5 linked regions of the Nothobranchius furzeri genome follow. The protein of the gene in region 4 purifies or fractionates together with the protein of the main gene of each other region. This does not show direct contact. Links are inferred from orthologs where the notes say so. Each region holds a gene or a part of one and is shown on either strand. Other genes may lie near its edges. The genes, in order: adar; znf346; dhx30; interferon-induced, double-stranded RNA-activated protein kinase; stau2.

The links.
Region 1: the proteins of interferon-induced, double-stranded RNA-activated protein kinase (region 4) and adar purify together in Homo sapiens (affinity purification with mass spectrometry; 3 studies listed by BioGRID and IntAct, with this or other methods). This does not show direct contact. The link is inferred for Nothobranchius furzeri from reciprocal best matches to the Homo sapiens genes EIF2AK2 and ADAR.
Region 2: the proteins of interferon-induced, double-stranded RNA-activated protein kinase (region 4) and znf346 purify together in Homo sapiens (affinity purification with mass spectrometry; 3 studies listed by BioGRID and IntAct, with this or other methods). This does not show direct contact. The link is inferred for Nothobranchius furzeri from reciprocal best matches to the Homo sapiens genes EIF2AK2 and ZNF346.
Region 3: the proteins of interferon-induced, double-stranded RNA-activated protein kinase (region 4) and dhx30 purify together in Homo sapiens (affinity purification with mass spectrometry; 3 studies listed by BioGRID and IntAct, with this or other methods). This does not show direct contact. The link is inferred for Nothobranchius furzeri from reciprocal best matches to the Homo sapiens genes EIF2AK2 and DHX30.
Region 5: the proteins of interferon-induced, double-stranded RNA-activated protein kinase (region 4) and stau2 purify together in Homo sapiens (affinity purification with mass spectrometry; 3 studies listed by BioGRID and IntAct, with this or other methods). This does not show direct contact. The link is inferred for Nothobranchius furzeri from reciprocal best matches to the Homo sapiens genes EIF2AK2 and STAU2.

What each region holds. Positions count from the first base shown.
Region 1 is NC_091745.1:78,176,756-78,179,887, reverse strand, and holds part of adar (double-stranded RNA-specific adenosine deaminase), read left to right. Parts: intron 1-125; coding exon 126-219; intron 220-338; coding exon 339-455; intron 456-532; coding exon 533-660; intron 661-739; coding exon 740-922; intron 923-991; coding exon 992-1,104; intron 1,105-1,425; coding exon 1,426-1,553; intron 1,554-1,891; coding exon 1,892-2,216; 3' UTR 2,217-3,132. UniProt on the Homo sapiens protein: Catalyzes the hydrolytic deamination of adenosine to inosine in double-stranded RNA (dsRNA) referred to as A-to-I RNA editing.
Region 2 is NC_091750.1:54,165,639-54,169,157, reverse strand, and holds part of znf346 (zinc finger protein 346), read left to right. Parts: coding exon 1-27; intron 28-172; coding exon 173-272; intron 273-2,791; coding exon 2,792-3,035; 3' UTR 3,036-3,519.
Region 3 is NC_091751.1:51,205,355-51,208,337, reverse strand, and holds part of dhx30 (ATP-dependent RNA helicase DHX30), read left to right. Parts: intron 1-404; coding exon 405-878; intron 879-1,075; coding exon 1,076-1,438; intron 1,439-1,527; coding exon 1,528-1,606; intron 1,607-1,686; coding exon 1,687-1,791; intron 1,792-1,864; coding exon 1,865-2,040; intron 2,041-2,134; coding exon 2,135-2,341; intron 2,342-2,434; coding exon 2,435-2,516; intron 2,517-2,587; coding exon 2,588-2,781; intron 2,782-2,963; coding exon 2,964-2,983.
Region 4 is NC_091752.1:1,779,454-1,783,685, reverse strand, and holds the start of interferon-induced, double-stranded RNA-activated protein kinase, read right to left. Parts: upstream 2,809-4,232; 5' UTR 2,677-2,808; coding exon 2,570-2,676; intron 1,282-2,569; coding exon 1,152-1,281; intron 1-1,151.
Region 5 is NC_091747.1:52,993,639-52,997,157, reverse strand, and holds part of stau2 (double-stranded RNA-binding protein Staufen homolog 2), read left to right. Parts: intron 1-2,962; coding exon 2,963-3,091; intron 3,092-3,519. UniProt on the Homo sapiens protein: RNA-binding protein required for the microtubule-dependent transport of neuronal RNA from the cell body to the dendrite.

The sequences.
Region 1 (3,132 bases), on a different chromosome or scaffold from region 4:
TGCATGTTTTCCCTCGTGTCAGCTGGTTTTAACAGCTCCAGAATCGGGTCACAGCAGAACCCAGAGGTAATGAGCTGCCAGAGGGTTTGACTTTCAGTACGTCTCCTTTTTTTTTCTTCTGTTAGGGAACCGTTGTGTCAAAGGGGAGGAGCTAAGCCTCAAAGGGGAGACGGTCAACGACTGCCATGCTGAAATCATCTCCAGAAGGGGCTTCGTTCGGTAGAAACGGATATCATGCTCCCTTGTTGATGTTCCTCCCTCGTTTCCAAAAATACTCTCTCCTCTCCTGGAAGCAGTCTGCATGACTCTGGCGTCTAACTCGCCGTCTCTGCTCTCAGGTTTCTGTACAGCGAGCTGCTCAGGCACTACGACGGCGCCGACGACAGCATATTTGAGCCGGGGGAGGACAACAAACTCCAGATCAAACCCGACATCACCTTTCACCTCTACATCAGGTGGAGAGAATGCTCCATGTGGCGAATCTGCGTTTCCCGTTGACGTCGGCGTCTCATTCCCGTTCTTTCACCCGCAGCACGGCGCCTTGTGGGGACGGAGCTCTGTTCGACAAGTCCTGCAGCGAGGCGGGAGACGACGCTCAAGGCCACCAGCCTCTGTTTGAGAATGCGAAGCAGGGCAAGCTTCGTACCAAAGTGGAGAACGGTGAGACACCCGGTGATGGTTTTTATAGAGCAGGTCTGGCGGCTGGAGTCCCTGCATGTGTGTGTGCTGCTGTCTCCAGGTGAGGGCACCATCCCGGTGGAGTCCAGTGCCATCGTCCCCACCTGGGACGGCATCCAGCACGGCGAAAGGCTGCGGACCATGAGCTGCAGTGATAAGATCATGCGCTGGAACGTGCTCGGCCTCCAGGGGGCGCTGCTCTCCTGCTTCTTGCATCCCATCTACCTGAAGTCCATCACACTCGGTAAAGCTGGTGAGATTTAACGTCCGCTGAGGTAGACGACTCCGGCTCTGACGTCACGTCTCCTCCCAGGTTACCTGTACAGCCACGGTCACCTGACCCGCGCCGTCTGCTGCAGGCTGGCCAGAGACGGTGAAGACTTCTCCAACAGCCTCCCGCCCTCCTTCCGGTTGAACCACCCAGAGGTGATGTACAAGTTTATTTTCTGCAAAGTCAGACACAAACATGAATCAGAGACATCGAGGTCATACTCATTAAATGCAATAATTAATCCGACCCGCCGCTGTTTTCATCTAATGTAAATGAAACTCGTCCATCAATTAGCAAAAAGTAGAGCAGTCCCCGTCCTGCCGCCTGGAAGAAATGACAGGGATACACTCGCTGGCAGCTGCACGCCTCTTAAGACGCCGAACGCCGCGGCGGCTTTCACCGACGCTCACTCGATTGGAATTTTCTGACCTGCGTTAAATGTTGAACGTACGTCTCTCCTCCTGGCTGGACCGTAGGTGGGCAGAGTCAGCGTGTACGACTCCACGCGCCACACAGGGAAGACGAAGGAGTCCAGCGTGAACTGGTGCCTACCCGACCAGCAGAGTGTGGAGGTGCTGGATGGGACCAAAGGAAAGCTGGACGGGTAAATAGACCCGTTCCTAATGTTTGCATTGTTGTTTGTTTGTTTTCTGCAAGCCATCAGTCCAAAAGCGTGTCCGGTCCTGGTCCTCGGCGCCTCTGTTCTGCTTTTAGATGTTTCTCCTGGTTCAGTGTGCCCTAAATCTCAGTCTGTTAATGAGCTTTTGATTTAAACCAGATCTTTCAGAGCAAAGATGTAGGACGGTGCGCTTCGAGGACCGGGTCTGCTCGCTTTAGAGGCTGCAAGTCTTAGAAGAGCGTTGAGCCTTCTAAATTCTCATTCATGTGACGGAAAACGTTTTTCTGCTTTAATACCAAACTACTCCAAACGTTTCCCTGCAGGAACAAACAGGCCGTGTCCCGGGTGTCCAAGTCCAACCTGTTCGGTCTGTTCCGCCAGCTGTGCCAGCGGTGCAGCCGCCCAGACCTCCTCAGCCTGCCCTCCTACGCCCAGGCCAAGATGTCGGCCACGTCCTTCCAGCTGGCCAAGCAAATGTTCTTCAAAGCTCTTAGCGTCCACGGCTACGGAGCCTGGATCGGCAAACCGCTCGAGGAGAAGAGTTTCGAGATGGCCGACGGAACCAGGAACAGCGATGCGAGCCTCTTTCTGGGATATGGAAATGTTAAAAAGGAGGGGCCGGGGGAGTCGAAGCAGGGAGAGGTGTAGACCGGTGTGTGTGTGTGTGTGTGTGTGGGGGGGGGGGGGTCAAATAGGAAAAAGACTCGAAGGCTGGAAGTGTCTTCTGCTGGATGGAGGCTGCAGAGGGGGCGGGGCTGCAGCGTTGGTGAGGTCATAGTGAGGACAGAGCTGGATAAACACGTGCAAAAGGAACGTTTTTTACTTTGAATCGTTGAACGAAGCAGCTCAAATATTAGTTTTTCATTTATGACATCAGAGGTTTCAGTTTGTTTTTGTTCTGTGAACATCGCACCGCCATTTGGACCAAAACCGCGGGCTTCAAGAAGTTTTGGTGAAATTATTTCACTGAATCGTTTTTGTTGTTGGAAACACACCTGAGACAGACGCACCTGAGACGGTCACACACCTGAGACGGAGACACACCTGAGACGGAGACCCACCTGAGACAGAGACATACCTGGGACAGACGCACCTGAGACAGACACACCTGAGACAGAGACACACCTGGGACAGACGCACCTGAGACGGAGACACACCTGAGACGGAGACCCACCTGAGACAGAGACATACCTGGGACAGACGCACCTGAGACAGACGCACCTGAGACAGAGACACACCTGGGACAGACGCACCTGAGACAGAGACAAACCTGGGACAGACGCACCTGGGACAGACACACCTGAGACAGAGACACACCTGGGACAGACGCACCTGAGACAGAGACACACCTGAGACGGAGACCCACCTGAGACAGAGACATACCTGGGACAGACGCACCTGAGACAGACACACCTGAGACAGAGACACACCTGGGACAGACGCACCTGAGACAGAGACACACCTGGGACAGACGCACCTGAGACAGAGACAAACCTGGGACAGACGCACCTGGGACAGAGACAAACCTGAGACAGAGACGCACCTGAGACAGAGACACACCTGG
Region 2 (3,519 bases), on a different chromosome or scaffold from region 4:
AGACATACGGACCCTCCACCGCACCAGGTCGGTGCTAATGGTCTCATCTTATCCGTTTAAATGTGGTTAATTATATGTTTACCTGATTAATAAAAAAACTTTTCACAAATTTACAGGTTAATGATCATAGTCTTTACCACAGCTTAACCTTCTATTGTCTATGCTTTTGTAGCTTCGACGCTAAACGGCTACCCGTGCACCATCTGTAACATCGTGCTGAACTCTGTGGAGCAGTACCAGTCTCACATCAGTGGGGCTCGGCACAAGAACCAGTGAGTAAACCCAGGATGGTTAAAGCAGCAATTCAGAGTTTCCCCCTTTTCGCTGCATGGTGACGCAGTGGTTAGCACTGTTGCCTCGCAGCACGAAGGTTGCAGGTTCGAAACTCGGCTGCGGCCTTTCTGCGTGGAGTTGCGTGTTCTCCCCATGCATGCGTGGGTTTCCTCCGGGTACTCCGGTTTTCCCCACAGATCACAACATGCCCTATAGGTTATAAATTGTAAGTCGCTTTGGATAAAAGCGTCTGCCAAATAAATAAACATAACATAAACATTTTCACTAATTACAGTGCATCCGGAAAGTATTCCACTTTTTTCTTTATGTTACACCCTCATTCCAAAAAGGATTAAAGTCATTTTGCCCATAAAATTCAACACACAACACCCATAATGATAATGTGGAAAAAAGTGTCTTTGAAGTTGTTGCAAATTTATTAAAGGCTGGATGCACTGTATATCTAATTTTGATTTGAAAATCCATAATTTATAGTCTTACCCTATACCACGATGTAATGCAGGCATTACGTCATTTTTATTTTTGCTAAGCTCGTCCCCCATCCTCTAGAGCCCCATGCAATTTGAACTGAGTGCCGCTAAGCATTAACCAACAGTGTTGGACATCAGCTAACGTACAGATGTCAATCACAGAGCAGACATGAGTGTTTGAGAAAGTACCTAGACCGATGCTGAGTGGGGAACATTTCCTACAAACAATTAAGTCTTTTAAAAAATTATATATATATATATATATATATATATATATATATATATATATATACACACACACACACACACCTGTCTCATTCAATGTGTTGTCTTTATTTTCATGACCATTTACATTGGGAGATTCTCACTGAAGGCATCAAAACTCATTGGAAATAGATGGGATTGAAATTCAAAGAGTAAAAGAAACTAAATGTCGTGGAGTTTTTATTGATGAAGACTTGACATGGAAATCACATATTAGTTACATAAAAGGTAAAATTGCCAAATCCTTAGGCTTATTACATAACTAATTCTGGTTTGTTGGCATTAGGGGTTGTATGAACTAGTCGACTAGTCGACTTCATGGCTCTGTAGTGACTTTTTATGCCTGTCATCGACTAGTCGCTGTCAGGTGATAATGACTGACAAGATGCAGTCCACGGAAAAGACAGCAGGTGATGAGCCCCTGCGCATCGGGAGGCGGAGGCGACGCGCTGTGCCAGAGCGTCGGCACTGACACTGGCGGTAAAACGGACATTTAACCAAACTGTGACCTTTTCCCTCTTGCAATTTTACCTTCCCCTCACTCCCATCCTAATCTTAACCAGTTTGCGCATGCAAAGCTCTGATCGTTGACGCGCTCCAGACATCTGCGTCCTGAGCACCGCCAAATCAGGTGTCTCCACCTCAAAAACAAATTAAACACGCGATCGTTCATGTCGGCTCATTTCCTTTAATGTTTTCTGTCAGTTATTTGTGCCTGATGCGTTTCGCTGCTGCGGAGCGAGGCGCATCACCTGTTTTGTCCTCCGGTGACGCACCCCCAAAATTCCACTATCTCCGCTCCGGCACGAACTCCGCAGCAAAAACGCTCCCATTGTAGTCGGCCGGCGAGCAGCGGCACTCCGCTGTTTTTGCGGTCGGTAGATCTTTTAGAACTGCAGTTCAAAGGTAACTCATAAGGAAGGTGAATATATATGAACCCAAGTAGCAGTTTTTCTTTAGGATTGAGAGGAGATGCAGGAAGATAATTAACAGGCAGGACAGAAAAATAGTCAAATAAAAACAAGTTAGTTTTTGTACCTGGTGGTTGCAACAAACAGACACCATTGAAGGTAATCAGAAGTGAGGAACAGAAAATGAAATAATTATTTTAATGTTTAGAGCAGCAGGAACTCCAAGAGGCTGCAGGCGCATCAGTGAGTTTGCGGCCGCTGCGCAGGGGGAGGGGGGAGAGGGCTGAAGCAGAAACTACCGTTGTTAAAAGAAATGTGTTTAACTTTGAAAATGTGGGCGCAATTTTAATTGTCAAAAACTCCAGCGAACCATTAGTTCATTTTGCTCAAATAGAAATAGAGGCCTGCCTCTAATTCTGGCCCTCCTTCCAATAAAGGCCTGGAGCTTGATTAGCTTGAGTCAAATACAGGCCCGGGCCTGTATTAGAGGATTTACGGTAGTTGTTTCAGCTCTACTCACCACGGTCTCCAGCAGGTGATGGCGGGGCAGAGGAGCTTATTCTTGGTCCAGAGCCAGTCCGCAGCAGCGCAGTATACATAATTTGGTATATAAGTCGCTCCGTAGTATAAGTCGCAGGACCAGCCAGACTATGAAAAAGGGGCGACTTATAGTCCGGAAAATACGGTATATATAATTTTTTTCCCCTAGATGGTGTCATCTGAGAAAAAAAAACAATTTAGCCACTTTAACAGGATTTTTATATTCATGCTGTTATTTACCAATGAATTTTCAATATGTTCAACTTTTTATTACAATTTAAAACACAAAATACTTTAAAACTTGTTTTTCAGAGCAAAGAAATCATTCGTGAAGACCTCAGAGAACCAGCAACCAGCAGAACAATCACAAGGTGATGAGAACCAGTTCATGCCTGTGGAGGACCAGTACACTGCTGCAGATGAGCAGTATGCAGCAGAAGAAGACCAGTATGCACCAGAGGATTCCCAGTATGGAGCTGAAGAAGGCCAGTTTGAAAGCAACGACCAGTACGCTCCAGAGTACACTGAGTTTTCAGAGCAGTTCCAGTACACTTGAGGCTGGACCAGATTGGACTACAGAGGCTTGAGTCAGGACTTGGCTCGGCTCTCTCCAACCAGCCCCCCTTTAACACATTAATGATTCATCAGCACTCATCTACCTTCAGCTCCTGTCTGACTCTCCTCAGTGTAGCCGTCATGTACACCTGGACCCTGGAGCATCTCCTCAGTTTGCAGCTGAACTTTTTGGCTTGTGTTTTATTTTTCTTTAAAGAAGCAAGCTTTGTAATCAGTGAAATACAGATGTTAGTAGAGGTCCAGTGGTGATGCAGCTGCACGCTCAAAGGAATGCCTGTTTGGCTTTGCTTCTGTTCTGAACCAACACAGCGATGGGTGTACACCAAGGCTGGGTTATGTGAAGTATTACAACAATTAGACAAATTAATATCTTCCTTCAGTAGAGAAAAGATCATCCATTCCCCTCCAAATCTAAAAACGGAAACACATTTCTGTAAGTTTGCTAAATGACAACTGGTTCAAAC
Region 3 (2,983 bases), on a different chromosome or scaffold from region 4:
CTATTTTGTTGCTAATTTGCAGGAAATATCTAGAGGAAAGTTCTACAGAAAGTAGCTAAGGGTCCTCAGATATGTAGCTAGCTTTGTCACTAGGCGTTAGGAACAGCAACAAAGTGGCACTGCCTCTCTCTGCTGCTAAAGCTACGGATAGCAAATGCTACGGGCTATGCCTGAGCGTGAACGCGCATGAAGCAGCCTGCTCGACCCGAGCACCTCTTTTTCTGTGATTTTACAGAAAAACAGGCAATCACAGTAAAAATGCCAGGGCTCATTCTACAGGACCAGGGCATTGCAGGAGAATGTGTGAAGAAGAAATTTATTATTTCTATACATGTTTTGGCTGTCAAACTTCCATAATGCCCCTTTAAGGCTTTTAACACAACAAAATGGCATCTATTTGATAGTACCCAGTGGCGACAGAAGTTCAGAAACTTTGGGAAGAAGAAGAGGCAACGGGGCAGCAGGTGAATCAGCAGTGTGAAGAGGAGGAGGAGGAGGAAGACTATATAACAGACGCTATTACCGGCAGGCCATACTGCGCGCTGTCTGAACAACGAGCTCAACAGCTCAGCCACCAGCTGCAACAGGAATGGGAGACTGCAAAGCCCGGGCTCTGCGTGGAATTGCCGGCGGATGCTCATCGCCAGCGTGTTGTGTCAGCTGTGCGATCCTCCAGGGTGGTTGTCATTGCTGGGGAGACGGGATGTGGCAAAACAACACGCATCCCACGCTTCCTGCTGGAGGAGCAGGTGAGAGGAGGTGAGGGCGCTTGGTGCAACGTCCTGGTGACTCAGCCTCGTCGGATCAGCGCGGTGTCGGTGGCTCAACGCGTCGCTTATGAGATGGGGCCGCATCTTAAACACCGCGTGGGATATCAGGTAGGCACAGGCTCTTTGTGCTGTCATTTAGCTGAACCATGTTTATTTGAGTATTCTTATGCTTCTTTTTGTTTTGTGTTTTTATTTAAACCATCTTTTTTTTTAGCTTTTTGAAAAGGTTTGAAACATTTAGTGAAGTTAAACTAAATGTATATTGTTGGGTTTTGGTGCAGACAGTGATACTTTTCTGTTCTTAGGTGAGACTTGAGAGTAGACCCCCTGAGCACAGCGGAGGATCCATGCTCTTCCTCACCGTGGGCGTCCTGCTGAGGAAGCTCCAGTCAAACCCCACCCTGAAAGGAATCAGCCACGTCGTGGTGGACGAGGTCCACGAGAGGGACGTGAACACGGACCTGCTGCTGGCCTTGCTGCGCTCCAGCCTGGATGAAAACCCAGACCTACGAGTTGTGCTAATGAGCGCTACTGGAGACAACCAGAGGCTGGCTGAGTATTTTGGGGGTTGTCCCATTGTGAAGGTACCAGGCTTCATGCACCCGGTAAAAGATCACTACCTGGAGGACGTGCTGAGGGAGATGAGACGCCCACTTTCAAGAGACAAGGTGATGGATTATCAGGTTTTAGCTTTTCTATTCATTTAGAATTATATAATTTAGTGGAATGACTGTTTTGTTTTTATCCGATTTCTAAGAAGGGAGCAGATGAGGCAGCACCTGATCCAGACCTGGTAGCAGATGTCATTGAGCACATCGACAAACATGGAGAACCAGGTACCTAACGCTCAATAACATTTAAAAAATGCCTTTTTTCTTTAAAATATGTTTTTAAATCGTTCTTTTCGGATCATCAGGAGCAATTCTGTGTTTCCTCCCTGGGTGGCAAGACATCAGAGCCGTTCAAGACAAACTTGAAGCAAAACGACTAACTCCCTCTGATTCCCACATGGTCCTGCCGTGTAAGAACGTCAAGCACGTCTGGATTTGCTTTCCCCAATTTCAGAGTTCTAACTGCTTAAATTTGATTTCTAGTGCACTCCAGCTTATCAGTGGCTGACCAGCAGGTGGTGTTCCAGCGCCCCCAAGTGGGCCAGAGGAAAATAGTTCTTGCCACTAACATTGCTGAGACCTCCATCACCATCGACGACATTGTTCATGTGGTGGATGCTGGAACTCATAAAGAACAGAATTATGACCCACGCACGAAGGTTGTTTTTTATTTTCCGCCTGAATTCACGAGCAAACAAAGCTAGCTTTAGTTTATTTCTCCAGTAAAATGTCTGCATTCCTTTGGTTTTCCAGGTGTCCTGCCTAGATACGGTGTGGATATCTCGCTCTAACGTCACACAAAGAAAGGGGCGAGCAGGACGCTGTCAGCCAGGACGGTCCTACCACCTGTTTCCCAGGCAACAGCTGGAGACCATGACTCCATTTCCTGTTCCTGAGATCCTGCGTACCCCTCTGGAGAGTTTGGTGCTGCAGGTGAAAATCCACTGTCCAAACTGCAAGGTACTTTAAAGAGACCTACTGATTTATTTATTTATTTTTATTTATTTATTTATTTTTTTAAATAGAATAATAACTTGTTGTTTGTGCCTGCAGGCTGGAGATTTCTTGTCCCGAGTTTTGGATAGTCCAGAACCAGAAGCAGTGAGAGACGCTGTCCAGAATCTCCAAGATATTGGTGAGTGAAGTGAAACCATCAGTGAAACTGGTTTATAGATTTAAATTCTCTACCATGTCCTGCTTTAACAGGAGTTCTGGACAAGACTGAGACGCTGACTCCTTTAGGCCAGCGGGTCGCTTGTATGTCGTGTGACCCGCGGCTGGGCAAAGTTCTGGTTCTGAGTGCCGTGTTCAGATGTGTTCTGCCCATGTTGTCTGTTGCTGCCTGTCTCACCAGAGACCCGTTTTTCAACAGCCTGCAGAATCGGGCACTTGTCAACAAGGTGAGGTGACTTGTTACCGTTTTGGAATGTAGGTCTTTTTGTGTGTTTCCCCATTAATGACACAAATAACAAATCCAGTATTCTCTGGGAAGTTTCAATCTGGTTCTGGCATTTCTTTCCTTTGTTTACAAAACAAACATAAATACATTTCCTTTTTAGTCATTTGTGTTTGGTTTGTCCAGGCCAAGGAGGACCTGAGTGG
Region 4 (4,232 bases):
TCAAAGCTGAACTACAGGCTGAGATCGTGAGCTTAGAGGGGCAAGCAGCACCTGAAGCAGTGGCCATCCGAACCATAGAGGAACGAGCACAACCTGAACCCCCACGCAAAAAGATGTCTCTGGGAGCTCTTCTGCAAAAACGAGCCGCTGACGCTGCGCCGGAGGGTCCCGTCGGCGCAGAGCAGCGAGCTGGAGCTGAAATAACAGCGTGTTGTTTGGAACCTGTCATTCAAGGGGACGAAGACCCTCTTCTCTGGTGGAAATATGCTGCCAGTCGTTTTCCCCAGATGTCACGACTGGCCCGGAGGCATCTATGTATTTGTGCCACCAGCTCACCATCAGAGCGGGTTTTCAGCACCGCAGGTAAAGTTGTTGGTCCACAACGTGCAAATCTGAACCCAGAAAAAGTAAACATGCTGGTTTTTCTGGCGAGAAATCTGAACTAGATTTGCTGCAACATGCCGTAATGTTCACACTCCTGTGTGTGTGTGTGCGCACCCGCACGCGTGTGGCCGTGTGACGGAGTTTTCTTTTTATAATTTTAATTCAGTTGTTTTGGTCGCAATAATTTTTATAATTTCAATGTTTATGGTTATTCAACTCTTGTTGTTTCATGCTGCTCGTTGGTAAGTTGTTCACTTGATTTGTGCACAACAGCGGTCCTGGGTTTTCATGTTGACTTATTGCTGTTGGACTGTTGACTCTTTGCACTTGTTTATAAGCTGCGTTTTTTTGTGTTAATAAATGTTGTTAATAGTATGTGAGTTACGTTGTTATTTTTTTTAGTGTTTGGTATTCGGATTCAGAAAGGTGAAGGTCCACTTGAGGCTTACGTCATACTTTTTAAGTATTCATGGTAATACCGTATACCGGGGTAAAATTAAGAGGAAGTTAGACGGTATTCAAATTTGGATATATATATATATATATATATATATATATATATATATATATATATACATATATATATATGCACACACACACTCACTGTTGTTGTTACAAGTACATGTACAGTATACTACTCTTTACATTTAAGCAACTAGGTTTACTGAAACCAGCTGATATAGCCTGTTTAAGTAAATTCAACATTTCATTTTGTAAAGGAAATGAGCTTTTGTTATTTGTAATTGCTGAGTAGGTAATATTCTTACAGAGTCCAGATGTCCATCTTCACACAGACATTTCAGGGCATTATGAGCAGCATTTTGCTTGGCATCCTTCTTGCTTTTCCCCTCACCACATGGATACTTTTTGCCATCTAGAACAACTCTCTGAGTGAATCTGTGGAGAAATGATATCATCAATCTCTCATTCATACAATTTACTATATCATCACTTCACTTTAGGACTGTAGATAACATCTAACAAAAGTTGTAATAATGCTTTTATGCAAAAAGACCATTTATAAAAGCAAACAAAGATGATATTTTACATTTTTTCTTTTTCCCTTTGCACAACATGCTATAACCTAACAAAGTACTGGGGACTCTGGGAATATATTGTGAAGTCATATAATTAACATCATAATAATTTAAGTGACTTAATGGCCACTTTATTAGGTCTACTGCTTGTTAACACAAATGGCTAATCAAACAATCACAACAATTATACAACACATTGGGCCTCTAGACGGTGAAGACGATTTGTTGAAGTTCAAACTGAGAACCAGATTGGAGACGGGTGATTTAAAGGGCTTTGAATGTGGCATAGTTGTTGGTGGTTGATGCGTGTTTCACAACCTGCTGAGATTTTCACCCACAACCATCTCTAGGATTTACAGAGAAGAGCTCAAAATGAGCAAAACACACACAGGATCACCAGAACGGACCACTAGTCTGGAAAAACCTTTACTTGTCTGATGAGTCTGGATTTCAGCTGCAACATTCACATGGTCGGGTCACAATTTGGTGTCCATGCCATGAAATCATGGATCCATCCTGCCTAATGACTCAGGCTGCTGCCCATGTCCATCTTCCCTTTATGACCACATGGACCCATCTTCTGATGGCTACTTCCAGCACCATGTCCCAAAGCTCAGATCAGCTCTAACTTGTTAACATGACCACGAGTTTCCTGGACTCCAATGACCTCCAGTCAATAGTCCAGTCCAGAACCTTTGAGATGTGGTGGAACTGGAGGTTCCCATCAAAGACCACAGTCCATCACCGATGGAGCTGATGCTGTCATTTCAGGATGGACCAGAACCTCTGAGGAAGATCTGCCTCAGCTAGTTGGATCAATGATGATGATCAAGTTTCTTCTTTGAGGCCAACTTGGGTAGCAGCGTCCTCAAAAGTCTCAAAATATACAACGGTGACCAAATCAGGTTAAACAGCAAGGTAATGTAGTAGCCGTCGTGAAGTGGGTTCAGCTTTAGGACATTCAGACAGTTGAACTGAAATATGAAAATAATTTTACAGCATGTTTTCTAAAACCTCCCACAGTAGCATCTAGTCCGTGTCTTTAGCTTCTAGAACAGACGCTACAATGAAAGTTCAACTCGAACCATGGCATAAACGTGTTAAGTTCCCCTGAAGCCACACACCAGTCGAGTTAGGAACCGACTTACTTTTTAATGTGGTCGGGGCCTTCAACACCGAGGACCTCATAATTCAGCAACAGACGATTTTTCTGCGCATATTCGTGAAGTTTAGCTACAGCGTTGTAGGGCTCCATCGTAATGACGCAGCAAATGACAGAAAACAGGAGGAATCTGGTTGAGACTCGTGTCTCTGGTCCTCCGCGGCGGCGGCTCTGCGGGCTCCTCCAGACGGAAACCGTCCAGCCGCTTGGTTTCGATTCTGGGCATCAATCTATCGGGTTCGGTCGAAAATGAAACTGGAAGAGTCGGTCGCTCAGTTCCGGTGCAACTTTTGGTGTTGTAAAGCTATTATAAAACACTACATTTCTAGTAAGTATAAATACATTTATTTAAAAAGAATCACCTTCTCATCCCTTCAACAATAAGAAAAAGATCAAGATAATTTATGTCAGTAAATTTAAAGTTAGCAGACTAATGATAGTTTATTCAAATTTAGACTTCAAATGTAAATAATTTTGATTGAGTAATTTGTTTAACATCTTAGAGACAATGCTTTATAAATGCTGTTTATAACAACAGGTGTCCAACATGTGGGGCGAGGGCCACTGTGGCCCTTGACCGTAGTTGCCCCCAGCAGAATGCTAGGCCTCTCTGATGATGTTCAGATTTGTATTAATATGCCTAAAAAATGCAGATAACTTAAATTCTGGAAAAAAAAAAAAAGTATTACAACGTGTTTGTTACGAATGCTTTTTCCCTAACCCCCAATTTCCACTACCTCCGCTCCGGCACGAACTCCGCAGTAAAATCGGTAACGTTGTAGTCAATCAGAGCTATTCCACTACTGCGGCTGTGCTGCGGCGCAGTGCGCCGCCCTCTGTTCCGGCGTCCGGCAAAAATAGAATTGAGCCTATTTTCGCCGGACGCCGGAGCACCTCCGCAGTCAATGGACAGGAATCACAACCGCTCAACAGGAAAAGGAGCAAGCACAGCTTCCGTTATTTCACAATAAATCGATAAACAAAAGGCGTTTTTTGTTTCATATGCACAGGTTTAACAACTTTTAACAACGATCAATGACGGCTGAACTTTAAATGCACAAAAGTAAGCCATAAATACAGTTTCTACTATCAAAGTAGTCACACTTTGTTGATCCAAACACTGCTGATCTCTCAACACAAATGATGGGCAGATTAAACAGTTCATTTCGATGCTTCTCCCACACAACGGGTGTTTGGATCTAACTTCCGCGTTTATTGCTCAGACTGTATCGCAAGATCTCGAAAATCCCACGCATGCTTGTTTGCCCCCCTCAGGTCTCCACACCGGAGCGGAGCCGTTGTAGAGCGCGCACCAGTAAAAATTGAGTTCAGAAGCAAGCGGCTGCGTAAGGCGGGGGCGGACCGGAGCGGAGCGGAGGTAGTGGAATTTGGGGGTAAGTGACTTTTACTGAAGAGCAGATCTTTAAAACATAATAAATAAAAAAAATATTTTTAAGACCAAGAAAGTAGAAGACTATCTGCCCATCCAATCCAGGGAAGTTCATGATTTACTTTATTGAGGCAAATATACGAGACCATTTTTATGCGCCGTCACCACAAAGACTGACAGATCATTTCCTATTATAAAATTTAAATACAAAGATTTAATTTGCAAATACAGATAACTCCACATTGTATATATATATATA
Region 5 (3,519 bases), on a different chromosome or scaffold from region 4:
CGTCCTTTCCAGAACTCCTGAATAGACTTTACCAAGGAGGCTCAGGAGTGTGATCCCCCAGGTAATGGACTTCATTCTGATATTTAACCATTATCAGACACTTGAACAGCGACTGTAGGAGACATGCTACAAATACTAAATTCTGTCACCAGCAGCAGTTGGGTCATGCTAGCGTCACCAAAATAATTAAAGGCAAAAAGTCCAGAGATACCTTTTCTCTCCAGCTGTCCCCTCCTTCTGTTTCACTCATCTCTCATCTTCTTTGCCTTTTTCTTCTCAACATATTCTGTTTATTACGTGTTTTCATTGGTGCCATTAAACCCCTGAACAGATGAACATTCGTCTTCACAGCCCTGTTTTCTCTCAGTGGAGCAGGCAACTGTTTTATACTACTATATTTCAGTTTGTCTGTTGGAGCTAGTAAAGACAGCACATGGTCTGGTTTCTGCAGCGCTAGGAGAAATATGGCTGTTGTAGGGAGACGCTCCTGCTGCAGCAGCATTCACTTAAACGACATAGCCAGAATCTCACTGGGGTGACACACAATTGTGAGGACAGTGTGCACATTGTCTGTGGGAATCACACAAAATTGGCACTTTGGACAAGTTTTATTTAAAGGTATTGGTCGCAGCGTGAGACATGTTGTGATTGCAAACATATTCTGACTGTTTTGCAAATGTTCTTGTTGCACTTTTGTGTCAATAAGTCTTAATCGTATTTCTATTTGCTTTCTACTCTTGTTTTATTAGCTATGTAGTTGCCAACTCCTCCCACAGTTGTCTCGCATTTCTCAGACTTTTATGACACACAGAAACTAAACTAAGAAAGGTAGACTCATTACATGCAAAGGCAGATGTTTGTTATAATTGTGATGATTGCAACTTGCAGCTTATGAAAACCCCAAATTCAAAATCTCAGACAATTAGAATATTGTAGGTTCAATATTCTAGACTCAAAGTGTCACACACTAATCAGCAAATGGATCCTAAACACCTGCAAAGGGTTCCTGAGCCTTTAGATGGTCTCTCAGTCTAAGTTGGATTACTGGCATAAATGGACTTTTGCTCCACATTCTCATTTTTTGAGTTTCACTTTTGTTTCTCATACTTTTTTAAGCAGACTTGTTTTCTCAGATATTAGCCTTTTCCTACAGAATGAAAGGTTTAAAGCAGGAATGTTTTGTCTTAGAGAGCACCATCTACAGGTGGAAATAATGTATTGCACTTTAATCCCTTCCGTGATTACTTCTGGAAGTAATGCCTCTCACTCGTTAAAGCCGTCAACAGAGCTAAAACACAATAATAAAATAACGTTTGAATAAGTTTAATTTTTTTGAGCTGGTTCAAAATTTCCCAACAACACGAGAGCAGAACTCGTGGGGACATTTTGGGAGCTCCTTCATGATTACCATTCAGAATTTATCACCAACAATTCCAGAGATATACTGGCTTAACTGGACTCGTCACAATTTTTACACAATAAACTTTAAGCAGTGCAATGCATACGGCCATAGAAGCACTACTTAGTGCAAATGTTGTGTAACCAACTGGCTTAAAAAACTTAACTCAGTGCGCTAATAAGTAGGTTTAATTGGAAATGTTTACTTCCTGAAGTGCCTTGAGAGGACTCTTTAATTGGTGCTTTGTAAATAAACTGAATTAAATTAGATTGAATTAAACTTGATTGGCTTAAGTTTGGTCATGTTTTGGATTTGGAAGAGAAGTGAAATCAGTAAATCTGATGTTTTTGTTTACTAAGTACATAAAAGTCAAGTTGATGTGTTTTTCTAAAACCTTGTTAAGATGGAATAATGCATGAAGTCTGATGGGTGGTAAAAATATGCAGCAGATCTTCTAAGTGTACCTGCTGTTGGCGTGTGTGTGTGTGTGTGTGTGTGTGTATGTGTGTGTGTGCGTGTGTGCACGCGCGTGTGTGTTTCCACATAAGGTACACCTTCTAAATTGTTTGTGTGCTAGCCGCGTCACTTGAATTAGACTTGTCCATTTTTATTAATGCATGTCACCCCAACTGTGATTCTCCAATTTTTTTTGTCCATCTCTGCTTTTATTCACCTCTCTCTCCCATCCCTCAGTCAAACTCGCCCTCTTTGTCTTTTCTTTCGTAATCCCCTTCTTTCACATGAGGAACAGAGCTTCTCTCAGCATCAGGCAGTAATTCAGCCTCAAACCTATTCTCCATGCCTCTTTGATGCACACATTAGGCCCTGTGTGTGTGCGTGTGTGTGCGTGTGTGTGTGTGTGTGTGTGTGTGTGTGTGTGTGTGTGTGTGTGTGTGTGTGTGTGTGTGTGTGTGTGTGTGTGTTCTTTTGTGCAGTCCACTCACTCTTCTAAAATTTCCACATTGTTTCCCCCTGTTAGGCAGCAGGGCTCAAATGAGCCTCTGTTTTCATCTCCTTTGTTTAAATCCATCTCTAGTTTGAGAATCAAACTCCACCTTAAAACAGATACCTTCAGTGGAGCTGATCGTTGTTTTAAAAGCTAATAAAAAAGTGGAAGTGTTCAGTGGTTCGGTGATTTATTTAGCTGTTTGCTCTCACTGTATGTCGTTGCCTGTGTCGTGTATTCAGAGCAGCACTCAAGCCTGTCGGGTCACTTTGAATAAGTGCGCCGATGCCTGGCTGTTCACATGCTCCGGCTCCCAGAGTGTTATTTGTACAGTGTAATTGTCTGTTTGCATAACATGACAATGTCCGATATGCTCTTGGAGATTTCTGCTTACATTCGCGTGGACAGATTTAATGCTCAGGGATTACCGAAAAACAAACACTTGACGTTGCGCGGCTGACTTGGCTCAGAAAGCGAGATCCCTCGGCTGAGAGGGAACGGGCATCAAAACGCTGGAGGGAGAAAAGTCACACAGAATGCATCAGCAAAGCCACAAAAACCCATTCTCCATTTCATGTACAGACGCTTGTTTGTGTGTTTCTTGGGTGCTCATGCAGGTGAAGGTGAATAACGAGGTTGCCACGGGAACAGGACCTAACAAGAAGGTGGCCAAGCGTAACGCTGCTGAGGCGATGCTGCTGCAGCTGGGATACAAGGCCTCCACTGTCCCTCAGAGCCCCTCAGAGGTACTCACCACACCCTTCAGCCAACTTTTACTTTTCATATTTGTTTTATATACAAACCTCTAGTTTTGTTAGTGTCTGTAACTATTTGTTTATGCTACATCATGATTACGGTAAGTTGTTCTAAACCGCTCTAAACTGTCATCACTTCACTCAAAGGGAGCTAAAGTTTGCCACTTGTGATTCTTTTTTTCCTTGATCATTGCAGATATACATTAAACATTTATGAAAGTCTGCTTAAAGCCATCTAATGAAATTGTAATCAACCTTTAACCATGCTTATATGAATTTACCCTGAGAGTCATTTCTGCTGCTCACCTTTTACAAAACTCCCTCATCTCCTCTGATCTGAGTGTTTGCAGACAACCATCATCTCTGTTCACCTCATCGGGTTTTAAGCTCTGTGGAGCAGAATCAGATATAGATCACGT